2 linked regions of the Astyanax mexicanus genome follow. The protein of the gene in region 2 purifies or fractionates together with the protein of the main gene of each other region. This does not show direct contact. Links are inferred from orthologs where the notes say so. Each region holds a gene or a part of one and is shown on either strand. Other genes may lie near its edges.

The links.
Region 1: the proteins of ddb2 (region 2) and cops3 purify together in Homo sapiens (affinity purification with mass spectrometry; 7 studies listed by BioGRID and IntAct, with this or other methods). This does not show direct contact. The link is inferred for Astyanax mexicanus from reciprocal best matches to the Homo sapiens genes DDB2 and COPS3.

What each region holds. Positions count from the first base shown.
Region 1 is NC_064422.1:7,820,944-7,828,719, forward strand, and holds the start of cops3 (COP9 signalosome complex subunit 3), read left to right. Parts: upstream 1-4,754; 5' UTR 4,755-4,881; coding exon 4,882-4,936; intron 4,937-6,714; coding exon 6,715-6,844; intron 6,845-7,776. UniProt on the Homo sapiens protein: Component of the COP9 signalosome complex (CSN), a complex involved in various cellular and developmental processes.
Region 2 is NC_064416.1:24,642,008-24,649,350, forward strand, and holds the start of ddb2 (DNA damage-binding protein 2), read left to right. Parts: upstream 1-4,328; 5' UTR 4,329-4,345; coding exon 4,346-4,490; intron 4,491-6,275; coding exon 6,276-6,394; intron 6,395-6,833; coding exon 6,834-7,025; intron 7,026-7,343.

The DNA.
Region 1 (7,776 bases), on a different chromosome or scaffold from region 2:
GAATTTTGCAACAAACAACTCTGTCTGTTGCACGCTTTAAGACATGTCTGCAGGAAGAATAAAACAAAATAACATCTGAAACACGTTAGTGCTTGGTATCCTTAAAGCCAGCCAATCTCTTGTTGTGTTGTGTTGTGATCAAAATTACAAAGTGGTAAATGCTTTTCTGTCCCAACTTTTTTAGTATGTGTTGAAGACCTAAAATGTAGGAATAGATGTATATATATAAATGAAATAAAGTATATATAAGGTGTATACTGTCTGCAAATTAAATAAAAAGTAAATATTTTTATAAAATGCATTTTTATTTATTTGCATTTTCTTTACCGCTTCTATACTGGAGTTATAATAACGGAGTAATGGAGAATACGTTTTTTTTTGTTTGTTTTTTTTGTTTCCAGTCTGTTACATTCAGTGAACAAATGAAAAGAAATTGTGTCTGATATATAAAACAGTGCCGTATGTGTCTTATATAAAATGTTATGACTATTAATAACTTGATTTGTGTCTGTGAAATACAGTACAACACTTCAGTTCTGTTTCACACAATAGTGAACTGGTTTTACTTGTTTTACAGGATATTTTAGCACCAACAGAAACGTGATTTATAGAATTCCTGGTAATTGGGAGGGACCAGTTTATCCTGGAATATTTAGACTGTGGGACAGTGAGTTCAGAAAGACTACAGAGGATTATTCAGCAGAACCGTACAGAATCCTCACACAGTGCCGTCAGTTTAACTGACCCAACTGCCTCATTTTACATTACAATTACAGACCTGTATTACATATCTCTGAACAGTTAACACCCCTCACCCCCCACCACATATACATGTATCCACCCACCCATCCCCCCCAGATTCAAGCCGCTAAATGTACTCAGCAGGCCCACTGTAAATTAGGAAAATAGGTGTTTCTTACATTTACTCTGACTTTTATTTGAATGCAGGCAGTATGAAGATATTTAATGTTTTACTTGCTCAACTTTCTGTTTCATTAATTAGTATACATCAATTCCTGCATTTCAGGCCTCCAACACATTCCAATAAATTCCAAAAAAAGACAGAAAAGCATTTACCCCTTCTTAATGGTGTAATTTATTTTCCATAACACTTAAAATACATTTGAGGACTAAGAATAATTTCCACACATTTCCTCCTTTTGGGGACAGGATAGGTCAGGACTGCAGGCAGGCCAGTCTAGTACCCGTACCCTCTTCTTCCACGGCCATGCCTTTGTAATGAGTGCATCATGTGGTTTTACATTGTCTTGTTGAAAAAAAAAAAAAAAAAAAACCTTGGAACCTTGTCATTAATGCTGCAATCACAGAAATATACTACTACAACCCCCTTACCATGACAGACTCTGACCTGCTGCTGATAACAGATTTGCTGATACAGGCATGTAAATTCCTCTCAAAGTCCAATATACAGCTCTGAAAAAATTAAGAGACCAGAGGGATAAATTTTAAGTAAAATGAACATTGTTGTTTTATTCTAGAAACTATTTAAACATGTCTCCCAATTTCCAAAAAAAAATATTGTCATTGACAGCTTTTTTTTAGAAAAATGGCTGAAATAACAAAAAAGATGCAGAGCTTTCAGACCACAAACAATGCAAAAGAAAACAAGTTCATATTCATAAAGTTTTAAAAGTTCAGAAATCAATATTTGGTGGAATAACCCTGGTCTTTAATTACAGTTTCCATGCATCTTGGCATGTTCTCCTCCACCAGTCTTGCACACTGCTTTTGTATAACTTTATACCACTCCTGGTGCAAAAATTAAGCAGTTCAACTTAGTTTGATGGCCTGTGATCATCCATGTTCCTCTTGATTATAATCTCGAGGTTTTCAGTTTGAAACTCATCAATTTTATGTGGTTTCTTATTTTTTTAGAGCTGTATATTGTATATTTCTGATGACCATTTGTTTGACCACAAGGAGAGATGATACCATTTAAAACAGTACAGACGGAAACACGATATTAACGCTGATATTCAGAGCCGGACGTGACGACACAGCGACTGTGAAAAAGGTCTATTAAACTTTAGTTTATAAAGCTAGCTTTAGCTAGTTAGCCTTCTGTTTATTGAGCTGAAATGCTAGCTAACTGCTGTCTATACCATGACAAGGTCAGGGGGCGTATTTTCCCCTTTTATTAAAGAAAAAAGAGACGGTTATAACCACAGTATTATGATTAGCTAACTAGCTAGCTAGCTAGGTTAACTAGGTTATTTAGTGTGTAAAGCATTAAGGCATCAAGGCAGCATTTCCTGCGTTTCAGATACACCCAAACGTGCCATGACTGGCTGACTGTAGGTTAGTTAGTATCTGGGCTCTGATTCTGGACTGAAAAGACTGAGCTTTAGTGTATTAGCTTTATATAGCTTTGAATAGAGAAGCACTCACCCCGGTTCTTTCTCCCGGAGCTGCCGCTGCCCCGCCGCCCCGCTGACCCGTCGTCCTCGCGCTGCTCTGCGTCTCCGTCAGTTAGTCAGCTGGCGCCTGCAGGCAGCCCCTCTGTAGCAGCTCCGCTGTAGTGTTGTGCTGTGTGCACGAGCGCGCCCTTTATTTGTTTTTAAAGAACTAGCTACAACATTTGGTCCCCCACCCCATCTCTTCACCCCGACCCCCCCATCTTCCTCTAAAAGCCCGTATGTGCAAGCATGTGTGCTCCACTGCTGCAGCTCGAGCACTACTCTTCTAACACGTGCAAATGAGCAGGACAAATGAAGCATTCACACACGCTTTCACACCTTTACGCACATACTCACACCTGCACACACCTTTACGCACATACTCACACTTGCACACATTTTTACGCACATACTAAACACTTGCACACACCTTTACGCACATGCACATGCAGACCCTCACACCTGTGAACGCCTGTCCAGCTGTGCACTCGGTCTGGACGCCCTCCGGCTCACTTCTACACACACAAATGGTGTGAAAACAATCACATTCATTACTCTGTAGGTAGAGGTATAGATACTAGGGTTAATACTACTGTACAATTTTAAGTATCAACTCAAGCTAAAATTCGGAAATTGAATCAACGTTAATTTGATGTTTTTTGAGTGGTTGTGCTCTTCTACGCACAATTAACATTAATAATAGTTATTATTTACAATTTGTCTGCTTTGTTTACACACATTTTCCAAAAGCATACCTCATTCTCTCAGTACTCTACACACAAATCAAGCAAACACATACACAACAGGCATAACCTTTCAATTCTCTCGCAAAATACAATTTTACATTCAACACAATGTTATCTCTTCTAATAATGGTGTTTTGTGTTCAGATGACACATACAAACCATAATAGGAATATACATTTATAAGAATCAGTTAAACACTGATAAGCTCAATGTAAAACATTATGATGAATAAAAACACTTCTCTATTCACAATAATGACATTTTTTTAAAACATTGTTTTTATACTCAGAACACACAGTACACAGTAAAAATCTATATTTTATAAAATATCTATTTTATTTTCCCATAAAAACAAGGTACACAGTGTACATCCCAACCAACATACAGTTGCATGTACAGTGGTCTACATACAAATACAAAAGCAAAATAATAATTTACTGTATACAGTTACTGTACAGCCATGAAAAGAAATTGTACAACTAATACAATACTGTAAAAACTGTGTAGGAACACAAAGTTTGAATACATTTTCCAAATAATTGAAACATACTTTCTGTCCTACAGAACAGTCGAATACAAACACCCAACATGTTATTAACCCAACAAGTCATTACACCACTGTTATAACATAGTTAACACTTTACTATGTTCTGTATAACACTGATATAATACAGTTATAAACAAGAAAACTCCAGAAACTCCTTCAAGATGCTAAGAAAACTATTCGAGGTGACTCTCCCTTATGGGGACACTGAGATTAAGTGTGCAGATCTGTCCTCAAACATTTTTTTTTACTAAATTTTTACTTTTGATTATTTTAATTTGAACACAAAACATTTCTGTATGTGTTTCTGTATAGCTTTGATGTCTTTAAAATAAAAAAGTAAAAATCATAAAAAGAAAGAAAACACCTGGTACTGTAATGGTGTAATAAATTCTTTACAAGCTGCTGTAAAACACAGATATAATTATGTAATAAACTTTATACAGTGCTTATTTTGTGCCACTGTTTAAAGTTTAGTAACATCTCTACAATGCACCACAATTTAACTTCCAAACAACATCTAAACTAGGGGACATAAATGGAGCTAAATACAGGGCAAACATGGAAGAAAATCTGCTGGAGACTGAAGACTGTCCACCAAGACACTTATGTGCATTGTGTTGGTCTATCACTGAAAATCTCAATAAAAGACATTTAAGTTTGTGGTTATAAGATGACAAAATGTGAAAAAGTTCAAGGGGTATGAATACTTTTGGAAGCCACTGTATGAGTATATGTTTTATGTTTTTTAAGTTACATATTTATATATTTTTGTGTTAATGTATTTGTATTTTTATGCTATTTAAGATGTACTAAAAATATCCCTATACATAAAAAATAAATATATTAAAAAATGTCTATAATAAAAAACTTTGTTTCCTGTACAGGATATTAAAGTTAGTAAATTGTTAGTTAAATGTTTCTGATCGCCGTTTTTAGCGGAAAAAATTAAAAATAAAAGTTTTGTTAAACACTGGAGACTTTTATCGTTTGTTTTTGATCCTTCTCTCAAATCTCGCGGGATCTGTGGCTTATGAGCGCAGATCTCGCGATAGCAGTGTTGTGTTGGTGGCGGCCTCCGCGGCGCTTCACCGTGACTTGTGTTCCTGAGCAGCAGCCTCTCATACTTGAATGAAAAGCGGCGAGAGAGCGCTCGTTACCCCGCTGCAGAGTCATGGCTTCCGCGCTGGAGCAGTTCGTGAATAATGTGCGGCAGCTGTCTGCACAAGGTACGCACCCGTTCGGAGAGATGGAGCGAGTTTAGCCAGGTCTGCTAGCGGCGGCGGACGAGGCTTAATCGAACTATCCGTTCCACCTTAAATAGCGAGGCTGTAGACTGCATCTACATTCTCGCGCCTCGATTCCGGACTGTAACTGCCGCCACATTTAAGGTGGAATGGAGAATTCGAACTAGCAGCTTCTTGGTCTCACTTCACTTATTTCCACACTCTTTAACTAACCTTTAACTAAACACACATGTAATTTGAACCGCCTTTAAACTCTTCTTAAACCACCAAACGCAAACAAATGTTGATTTAACCCGAATTCCCCTCGCTTTTGTGTTTATAAACACAGCTAGCTAGATAGCTAATGCTACTGCTAGTTATGTCTATTAGGTGCTAGCTGACTGACTAGCCAAACACAGTGAGTGCAGCTAACTTTAGCGCACCTTAGCGCTTTAACTGGCTCACAGACTCTCAGAGAAACTTGGTAAATAATAGATTAGCTACATTAGACAAGTGTTTGAGATATTATTAGACAAGTTAAGTGTTTTAATTTGAGACAAATAAGCTGCTTTACTGAGTTAGATAACCTATCCATTAGATTAGGGCTGGACGATATGACTGAAATGTCATATCACGATATGGTCAAGATATATCGAAATCCTTAACAGAATATAATGTATATATAGTTCATGTATAATGTGTTTTCTTTCTGTTAATGATTTTTTGACATTGTAAATTTAATATAGAAGAATATTGATTACAGGAACACACGCAGAATTATTTTGCAATCAAAGTGTTAAACAAACCAGAATATCATTATATATATATATATATATATATATATATATATAATTATATCAGTATATTGGTTATACAACATATGCTGATGTATGTATTGTGTGCTGGAATAGGACCAAGTAACACTGGCCGTGCTACGTTAAAATACTATTTAAAATGCTATTTTATTTTACTTTGTTTAGTGCATCGCATTTACAAATAATTTATAAGTATACACTGACTTTGGAGACGACCAATTTTTAATAATGAACATTATTGATTAGTTGACTAATCATTGCATCCATAATTTGCAACAATGTAAACGTTGAGCTAGATATTTTGAGCTGTAAATATGAGTGTTACTAAGTAACCTATAAAACTGCTTATAAGACTGCTTCGAAAAGCAATACATATATTATGACTTATTCTATATTTACATGTTCCTGTTTCTGTATTTAATTATGTTCTTATTATTAACTGATTTTAAGATTTAATATATTCACACTTCAGTTTAGTAGTTAATTTTAGTGAAGCATCTGCTCGATGGTGAACATTACATCCATAATTATACATTATACCATTTTATTCCTGATTCATGTCTGATCCTTTGTTTTTACCACTGTGTTATGTTCTCTAGTTGTAATTAACGCATTTTATGAAGCCTGCAGCAGTGAGGAGCATTTTACAAAGCTCTTTACACTCCAGATGTGTGTGTTCTGTATGTAAACACACTCCCACCACATTCTTATTCTGCTTTAGAAACTAAACTACGGTTAAATGTTTTTTTTTGTTTTTTTTTTTTTTTTACAAGCAGAAAATCCACACTCTTTTATTTTTACTTTAAAGTGACACTTTAAGGACTGGCCACAAACAACCCACCCCACATACATACACACACACACACACACACACACACACACACTTTAGCTGTCTTGTTTAGAGCTCTGTGTAACTGATTCTGTTATCAAATATATCTGTCTCGTCTTTCTGTCTGTCACTCTTAGGTCAGATGACTCAGCTATGTGAGCTGATCAACAAGAGTGGAGAGCTGCTGGCCAAGAACCTCTCCCACCTAGACACGGTGCTGGGAGCGTTGGACATCCAGGAGCACTCTCTGGGCGTGCTGGCTGTGCTGTGAGTGCTGTTCCAGGATCAGTGCAGACTGATTTATTAAGTGCTAAATCTGAAGCTAAGCATCCCCTTCTTTTTAAGATGCTATTAATCATACATGGACCCTGGTGTCAAAGATAAATTATTATTATAAACCGAGTCTTTACTAAAGTAAAACTAGTATTTAAAACCAAATTGAATTTGTTTGAATCTGTAATGCAATTACAACAGTGTTCCCAGCACATTTAGAGAATTGCCCACACCCATTGCAATTTCTCAAAGGGCGTGTTAATGAGCTAATTAGCTGATTCAGGTGTGTTAGGAGAAGGTAAAATTTGCATGATTGGGAAACCTGTAAACTAGGGGTGGGAATCTGCGATGCGGTTATAAAACAATTATTAATGCATCCTAATGCATTTTCTTCTTCTATACAGGATTTCTTTGTTTTATTGCATGACTGCTTGGTCATTTTAAAGTAAAGAATTTGTAATGATCCATAATAAATCCCACTTTTTAGTAGGCTCTTTGACACCATTTTTATTTACTTAAAAAAACATAGTTATTTCCTTTGATCAGATGATAGGATTAATGTTGTTAGGGTAATGGTTAGGCAAGCTTCAGCCACAATATTAAACCAGGAAAATAGAAACAAGAAGGTGATTATAATGTTATGACTTATGCTTGTTTTAATATTGTGTCTGATATGTGTTGGATTTGCATATGAATAAAATGTAAAGTATGTAACAGAAAGTTACACATTATAATAGACTTTGTAATATTTATATATACATAAGAATGGGATCCCAGATTGGCTTACCTAATAATTAAATTCAAATAAATTTGAGTTTTTCTTCTAATAATAATAATAATACCACAAGGACAACAATATTAATAATTATAATGGTAAGCACAAGCATCATTTGTTTAAAGTTATTAAACAACGTTTAAAATATTTA
Region 2 (7,343 bases):
TACATTGGATTAATCTATAACTTTACTGGAATGTAAACCAGGATGTTTGCCAAGAGACGATTTATATATATATATATATATATATATATATATATATATATATATATATATATATATATATATATAAAACACTATATCTGAACTACATCTTCACTGACTGGAATTTGCAACGCGTTCCTTCACACCAAGCTACTGCTGCATTCTGGCTGAACTACCAAATTAAAGCTGCTACTTAGCCCATATGTAACTTTAAAAAAGTTGTGTTTTTAACGTATGGGTGACTTCAGAAGATATGCTGGGGTGTACTTACAGTCTAGATGCTGGTGAAAGTGAAGTGTGTCCAGTGAGTAAGTGTTAAATAGTGACGGCTCCTCCAGTGCCTTGACCAGGCGATGCATGGGAAGCGAGCAGCTTTAGAGGGAAAAACATGCCTTTCTTTGTTTTCGTTGTCAGCTGCGCGTCCCAGGGCGAAATCTGATTGGTCGACGTGCTCATGTTTGCACCGCCGTATCCAACACCGCTGTGGAGCCCCTCACTGCTCCAGCCAGATTTACCCACCCGTTTCCAGGCAGGCCACGCCCTCCGGGGCTGCGATTGGCTAATAATTCATAACTGATACATGTGTCCCTCTCTCACATACAATTTTTGATTTTTTAAAATCCGTTTTGAAGAATGATACTAACTGCATTATTTTCCCACTATCAGTAAAACTTGAGGTTTGTTTTACACAATTTGTACACTCAGTACAGACATCCCAAGTTGCAAAAAATAATTTCAGGGAGAAATTATATATATATATATATATATATATATATATATATATATATATATATATATATATATATATATATATATATATATATATATATATGCTAAAATCACTATTACATTATTATTATTATTTAATTGTTTTTAACTTTTACCAGACATAGATATACAGACATAGAAAAAAAAGTTTACATTAGAACCACTACGGGCGGCACAGTGGCGCAGTGGGTAGCACTTCCGCCTCACAGCAAGACGATTCCCGGCTGGGGCAACCCGGGTCTTTCTGTGTGGAGTTTGCACGTTCTCCCTGTGTCTGCGTGGGTTTCCTCCGGGTTCCTCCGGTTTCCTCCCACAGTCCAAAGACGGCACGTTCAGGCTAATTGGAACTTGATTGAAATTGCCCCTTAGGTGTGAGTGTGTGAGTGAAATATTAATAGCCCATTACACACTCAGTGGGTGTGTTACAGCTGGAAAAGCACTGTCATGTGCGAAACACAGTGGACCTCGAGAACCAGGTTTGAGAAACACTGCAATTAGGACTTTTCTAAATATAGGTGGGGAAAAAAGTGCTTGCTTGTTGCTTGTTTCCTGTATGACTGACTACACAAAGGGCCTCTTCAAGGGCTGTTTAGTAAAGACAATAATGGTTATGCATGTAGAACAGTGATAAGTGAAGCATATGAATTTCATATGAATGGGTTCTATTGTTAAATGTTTAACACGCTTTTTGGTACCGAAACTGAAAATCTGGTCAAAAAACAGTATGTAGAGAAACAGATATTATTCTGGGAAAATAATACACTTATTTTTTTCTAACAAATGGAATTTGACACATATTGATGCATGTAGATCATAGACTGTACAGTCTATGATGTAGTTAAATAGTTTTATATAGCTTCATCCTTACAGCAAATGCTCTACACACTAAGAAAAATAAGTACATATTTCTACTTAAAAGAGAACAAAGCTTGTCGCTGGGGCTGTACCTTATATTTAGGTACAAGTACCTTTCAGTAAATTTCCTTTTTTGAACCCATGTGTTTTTGTACCAGTAAAGATTATAAAGATTATAAATCAATTAAGAACTTGAAGATCCAGAAGTCAAGAACTTGAAGATCTAAAATTGTCTAGCTTTCAAATAAAAATGTGCAATTAAAATATATTGGCTAAATGGTTAAATGGTACAAATCTGTACGTATTGCTGTTAGGAATGACTTTGTACTTCAGAGGGAACACACCTGACCCTGTAAAGACCAATATTATACCTTTGAGGGTACAATTATTAAGAGTGTACCTTTAAGTACCAAAAGTACTTATATTGTACCTCTGTTCTTTTTAGTGTAAAATTGAGTAGAAAGCCTTCCCTGTAAAGACTTCAACAAAAGTGGGATAAAGTTACTTAGGTAGAAACAATAAATGAGCATGTGTGCCAGTAAATGTGTTTGTATAGTGTATTTAATGTAGGAAATGTGAAGATTCCACCAGCTCTGGTGGTAGTGCTTTGGGATCCTGGGAAATGAAGTGAAGCGGTGATCTTTGCAGTTTCAAATATATTTTTAAGCTTTTATATCAATCCCTTTTCTTTGTTTTTCTTAGGTTTGTTTTTTGTTAGTATTTTTGTAATGATGGTAGTTTGAACTTTGTTTGTGGCCTAATTTTGTGTTTTACCACTTCAGTTTCTGAAACATTTTCTCTGAGTTTGCTATTTGTAGGTATATGTTTAAAAATGAAAATGAACATTGTTGTTTTATTCTATAAACTACGGACAACATTTCTACCAAATTCTAAATAAATGTTGTCATTTAGAGCGTTTATTTGCAGAAAATGAGAAATGGCTGGAAAGACCTCAAATAATGCAAAGAAAACAAGTTCATACTCATAAAGGTTTAAAAGTTCAGAAATCAATATTTGGTGGAATAACCCTGGTTTTTAATGCATCTTGGCATGTTCTTCTCCAACAGTCTTACACACTGCTGGTGTAAAAATTCAAGCGGTTCAGCTTGGTTTGATGGCTTGTGATCATCCATCTTCCTCTTGGTTATATTCCAGAGGTTTTCAATTTGGTAAAATCAAAGAAAATCGTTCTTTTTAAGTGGTCTCAAAAAAAATGTGAGAACTGGCATACAGTGTCAGATTTCCAGTCTACCGCCATCTAGTGTTTATAATCTGTAACACACACACACTCAAGCGTTACAAAACAATCCGCGGGTTACGTCACGCCCACACACGTGTGACCCTCTTCGCGCTGTTTATACTCTTTAAGGTCAGTGGAAGAAATAAACGGAGTGTATCGATATAAACAGCGCGTGGGGCTTTCTGTACTGCTGAAAACACGTCTGACTGTACGTTCACACCGAACGCGATAAAATCGCTCTGTGTCGCCTGTCCAACAGGCGATGAGTCGCTTGTGGGCGTGTCTCACTCAGAACGAGCTGTCGCTGGTGGGCGTTTTCCAAATACGGCACATACAGAAACAAGGGTTCAGCCTCTCTACACAGTTCCTAAACATTAAAAACTTTTATAACTATTTTTAAGTACAATTATTTAACATAATTATTTCATATTACAATAAATGGGTTTACTTAAATATAATACATTATTTTCCTTAATGTAGTAAATCATTCTCTTAATTTGTCCATAATTTCAAATATTGTTAACTTAATGTCTAAAATAAATTCTTGTAATTAATATGTTTACTTAAATATATTAAATCATCCTCTTGATTTAATAAACAGTCTTTCTCTTAATTTAATAAATAATTCCCTCAGTTTGAATAAATCTTTCTGTAAAATGTAATGAATAATTCCCTCAATTTTACCTAAATCGTTTCAAATTCCATACCTCAGTTTGAACAAATTGTTACGTTAAATGTATTAATTACTTTCTTCAGTTGTAATAAATCATTATGTTAACTTTAATAAATAATTCCCTTTGTTTCAATAAAAGGTTCTGTTAATTTAAAAAATATTCCCTTAGTTGTCATAAATCGTTCTGTTAATTTATAAATAATTTCCTCAGTTTAATATATAGTTTTCTATTAAATAAGGTAATTCTGTAAGGATAGTACTATAGTGGGGTAGCCGCTGGTGAAGTGGAGTATTTTACCTCAGATCAGCTCAGTTCAGTTCTGTTCTTTCCGTTTTGCTGGCGGAATAAATCTTCAGTAGGAACTGAAAATCAGAGCAGCGATTTCAGGCCGGACATATGAGAATCTGTTTCTGATTGGTAGTCGCCGCCGCGCGTCGCTGCTCATTTGCATAAAGTTAAGTTCTGGTCAACTCTCTCGCGTCGCTCAAACCGCCCGCTTCGCATCGCGTCGCGCCGCGTCGCTGCCTGTCGCCCAGTGTCGCTCGCTCTCATTGAAAATGAATGACTTCCGGCTGCTTTGTCGCTCGCGTCGCTTTCGGTGTGGACGCACGGTGAAAGGTAGGTAAAGTATCTTAACATTAGCTACTTGCTAATGCCGCTGTAACCTAACGTTACACCTTGTTAGCTTGCTAGCTCATCAGTGTTTCTGAAGTTGCAGGCTAGTTGTGTGTTAGTGTATGAGCTGTAATCATAGTCACTGTGTATCGACATGTTTCAGACAGAAAACTGCTGTACAATGGCGAGAGGGAAGAGGAAAGAGGAGGGCGCGAGAAAACGACAGAATGCTGAGGTTTCTGAAACGCTTTCCAAAAAGCTGAAAGCAAAGAAAGATGGACGGGCTGGATCAAACACAGGTGTGGAAACGTGTTCACTGGTATTTCCTTTACGTTTTATTCTGAAAAGTGATTTTATTATAAACGACGAGGCATGTAAAACTGCCAGGAGTAGCCAGTTTACTAACTTACACAATATGTCCAAATGTTTGTGGACACCCCTTCCTTCTAATAAATGTATTTAGCTATGTAAAAGAGGCACTAAACCCTTAATCACTAACCACTACTTAAAATTATTACTTATTATAAGCATTTCCTAACCTCTAAAAAAACGCTTTTACTGTGGTAATTTCTGCCTCTGCAGTGTCCTCTCAAGTTCAACTGGGCTACAGGCGAGGATGAGGTTTCCGTGTACTTTCCTACATAGACACTCACAATATGCAGATCAGTCAGTCAATAATACCGCCCCCCTGGTGACATCCAACCATCTGCTTCACACTGCTGCAGCTGCAACTCAGCCAATCAGCTCTCCCTCCTGCCCCACCCCTAAACCCATACATCACCCAGTGCCCCCTTTTTAGCCTTTTTTAAAGCCCCACTAGGTAGGATTTCCTTGATTTTTGATCTTTTTAAAGAAGTAAAATTACAGCTTGAAACTCACTGCAGCGCTCAATTGAGGTGTAATAGGAGGAATAGCGGTGCTCTCGTGTCTGTGCCGGGCTCCTCTGAGCTCAAACCAGACTCTGTAAGTTTTCCAAGGCGGCTGCAACCAACGCTCGCGAGAACTGCGACCTGCTTTCCGACCTTTAGTTCTAACAGTTCTACAAGGACTACTGGTTCATTCTTTACAAACTAACATACAGACACGCTGGCAGAAGCTGGAAATAGACCGAATATGTCTGTGAAAGCCAGAAAACGAGAAAGAGAAACTAATCCGCCTGAAACATTTATTACACTCTGCAACTGTAGGGGGAGCCCACGAGCACAAAATCTCAATCCTACCTAGTGGAGCTTTAAATTTAAGCTGATGGTGGAGTCAGGAAAAATCAGGAAGTTCAGTGCCCCTTTAAGCTGCACCCATGAGTCATGGCTGATACAGATGTGCAAATATGTCTAGTCCCTATTGGAGAAGGTATTGCCAATCAGTTTATTGACAGTCACGTGTGTTTACTTAGTATTATATGACACCAAAGCGCCATGTTTACGGTATAGTTATTGTGAGCAGTACAGTGAAAGTACAAGAAACTAACATGCTTTTATAACCTTTAGAGAATTTAAAGCAGTACAACTGGAGAAACAGAAGTAAAGTGAGGAAATGGCTTCTCCAGACAAGCTGAACAAGAATGTCACAGAATCTACTTTGGATTAACGTCTGTTAGCCACACTGATAAATACAAACTGACTACAACAAGCTAGCCCCAGTAATCCAAAACACAGATGAAACTGCTGACTGCAGTACTACAGCATGAACACAGAGTACCTTCAGCATGGCGATAAACACATTTAGAACCTCACCGTTATGTCACCTGTCAACAGCATGTCAGCAGATTAACATGAATCTAGTGGCACAATGCCTAATGCCAGGTGTGTTGTAGAGGGGAATTGAGCAGTGAAACTGTGTTCTCTGGAATTATGCTGCCTTATTCAGTACTTTGGGAATGAGGTGTTGATCATCAAACATTCTGACCCCACTAATTTTATTATAGCTAGATGCAATCAGATTCTCGCAGCAGTGTTGCACTAACTAAAAGTCTTCCTAAGACAGTAGAGTTACTCTGACTCTAACAGATGCAGGATAAACTCTTATTTTAATGCCTTAAATTTCAACAATGAATATAAACAGTCCAAATACTTTTGCCCATATAGTGTACATTCAGGCAAGTGTAAAGTGGACTGGAGGACTGAAGAAATGCAGCCAGATAAGCATACCTCATTACATCTACAAGAGCTCCTTAGGACAGAGCATCCACTCTCAACTACGACAGGTAACCAACCACATGCCTAAAACTAATTACAGTGTTCTGTCTATTCTCAGAAAGTGATGGCTGTGTCAATTTTTATAGTGCTGTTGTATTTTTCATGTGATTTTGATGATTTTCCTCATTGTTATATTTTCATATCATTATTTTTAAGAATGATATGCAGAAATACAAGATTATGTATATTTGTTTTACTCAGTTCCTGCTTAATTCAGTCATATCCAATTACTGTAGAAAACATGGACAGTGGAGTGTCTCTCAAAAGTAGTCATCCTTCAAACAAATGCAGGGTGTTCTCCCTGTCTTTTAATGTGACCTTATATCTGACAAAGCCCAGTATAGTCTCTTGGACTCCCTCATTTAGATGGTTAGTGTGTTGATAAACAGTCTGTCTGTCTGCTGCTAATGAATTTTTCCATGCATTATTTTCTTCACTGTTTTTAAGTGTCTCCAAGAGCCTTTTATTCGCTCCCTGGAATCATTCAGACTGCACCGAACAGCCAGCCCTTTTGAACGGAGGGTCACATGTCTGGAGTGGCATCCCAGTCATCCCAGCACTGTGGCAGTGGGCTCTAAGGGTGGAGACATCATGTTGTGGGACTATGAAATTTTGAACAAGAAATCCTTCATACAAGGGGTATGTTAGATTTACTGCCAATCAAAGTTGGCTGGGTAGAATAATTAAAAATTTTTGTTTGTCTGTGTCCCAATCACATACTACACATAATACCAAACCATTCTGTACAAACAAAAAGTGATAAAGTGTTGTTCTCCTGCTGCCATTGTAGGACAGTCTCAATCTTTACCACACCTTTAAAAACGGTTCTGAGCATGGAATATTTGAGAATACTTTTATCAATACTATATACTTTATTCTCAAAAACTACTTTGTATTATCTGTTTGTAGGGAATTGGGACGCATCCACATACTTCAGTGTAGATAAAGAAATTGCAC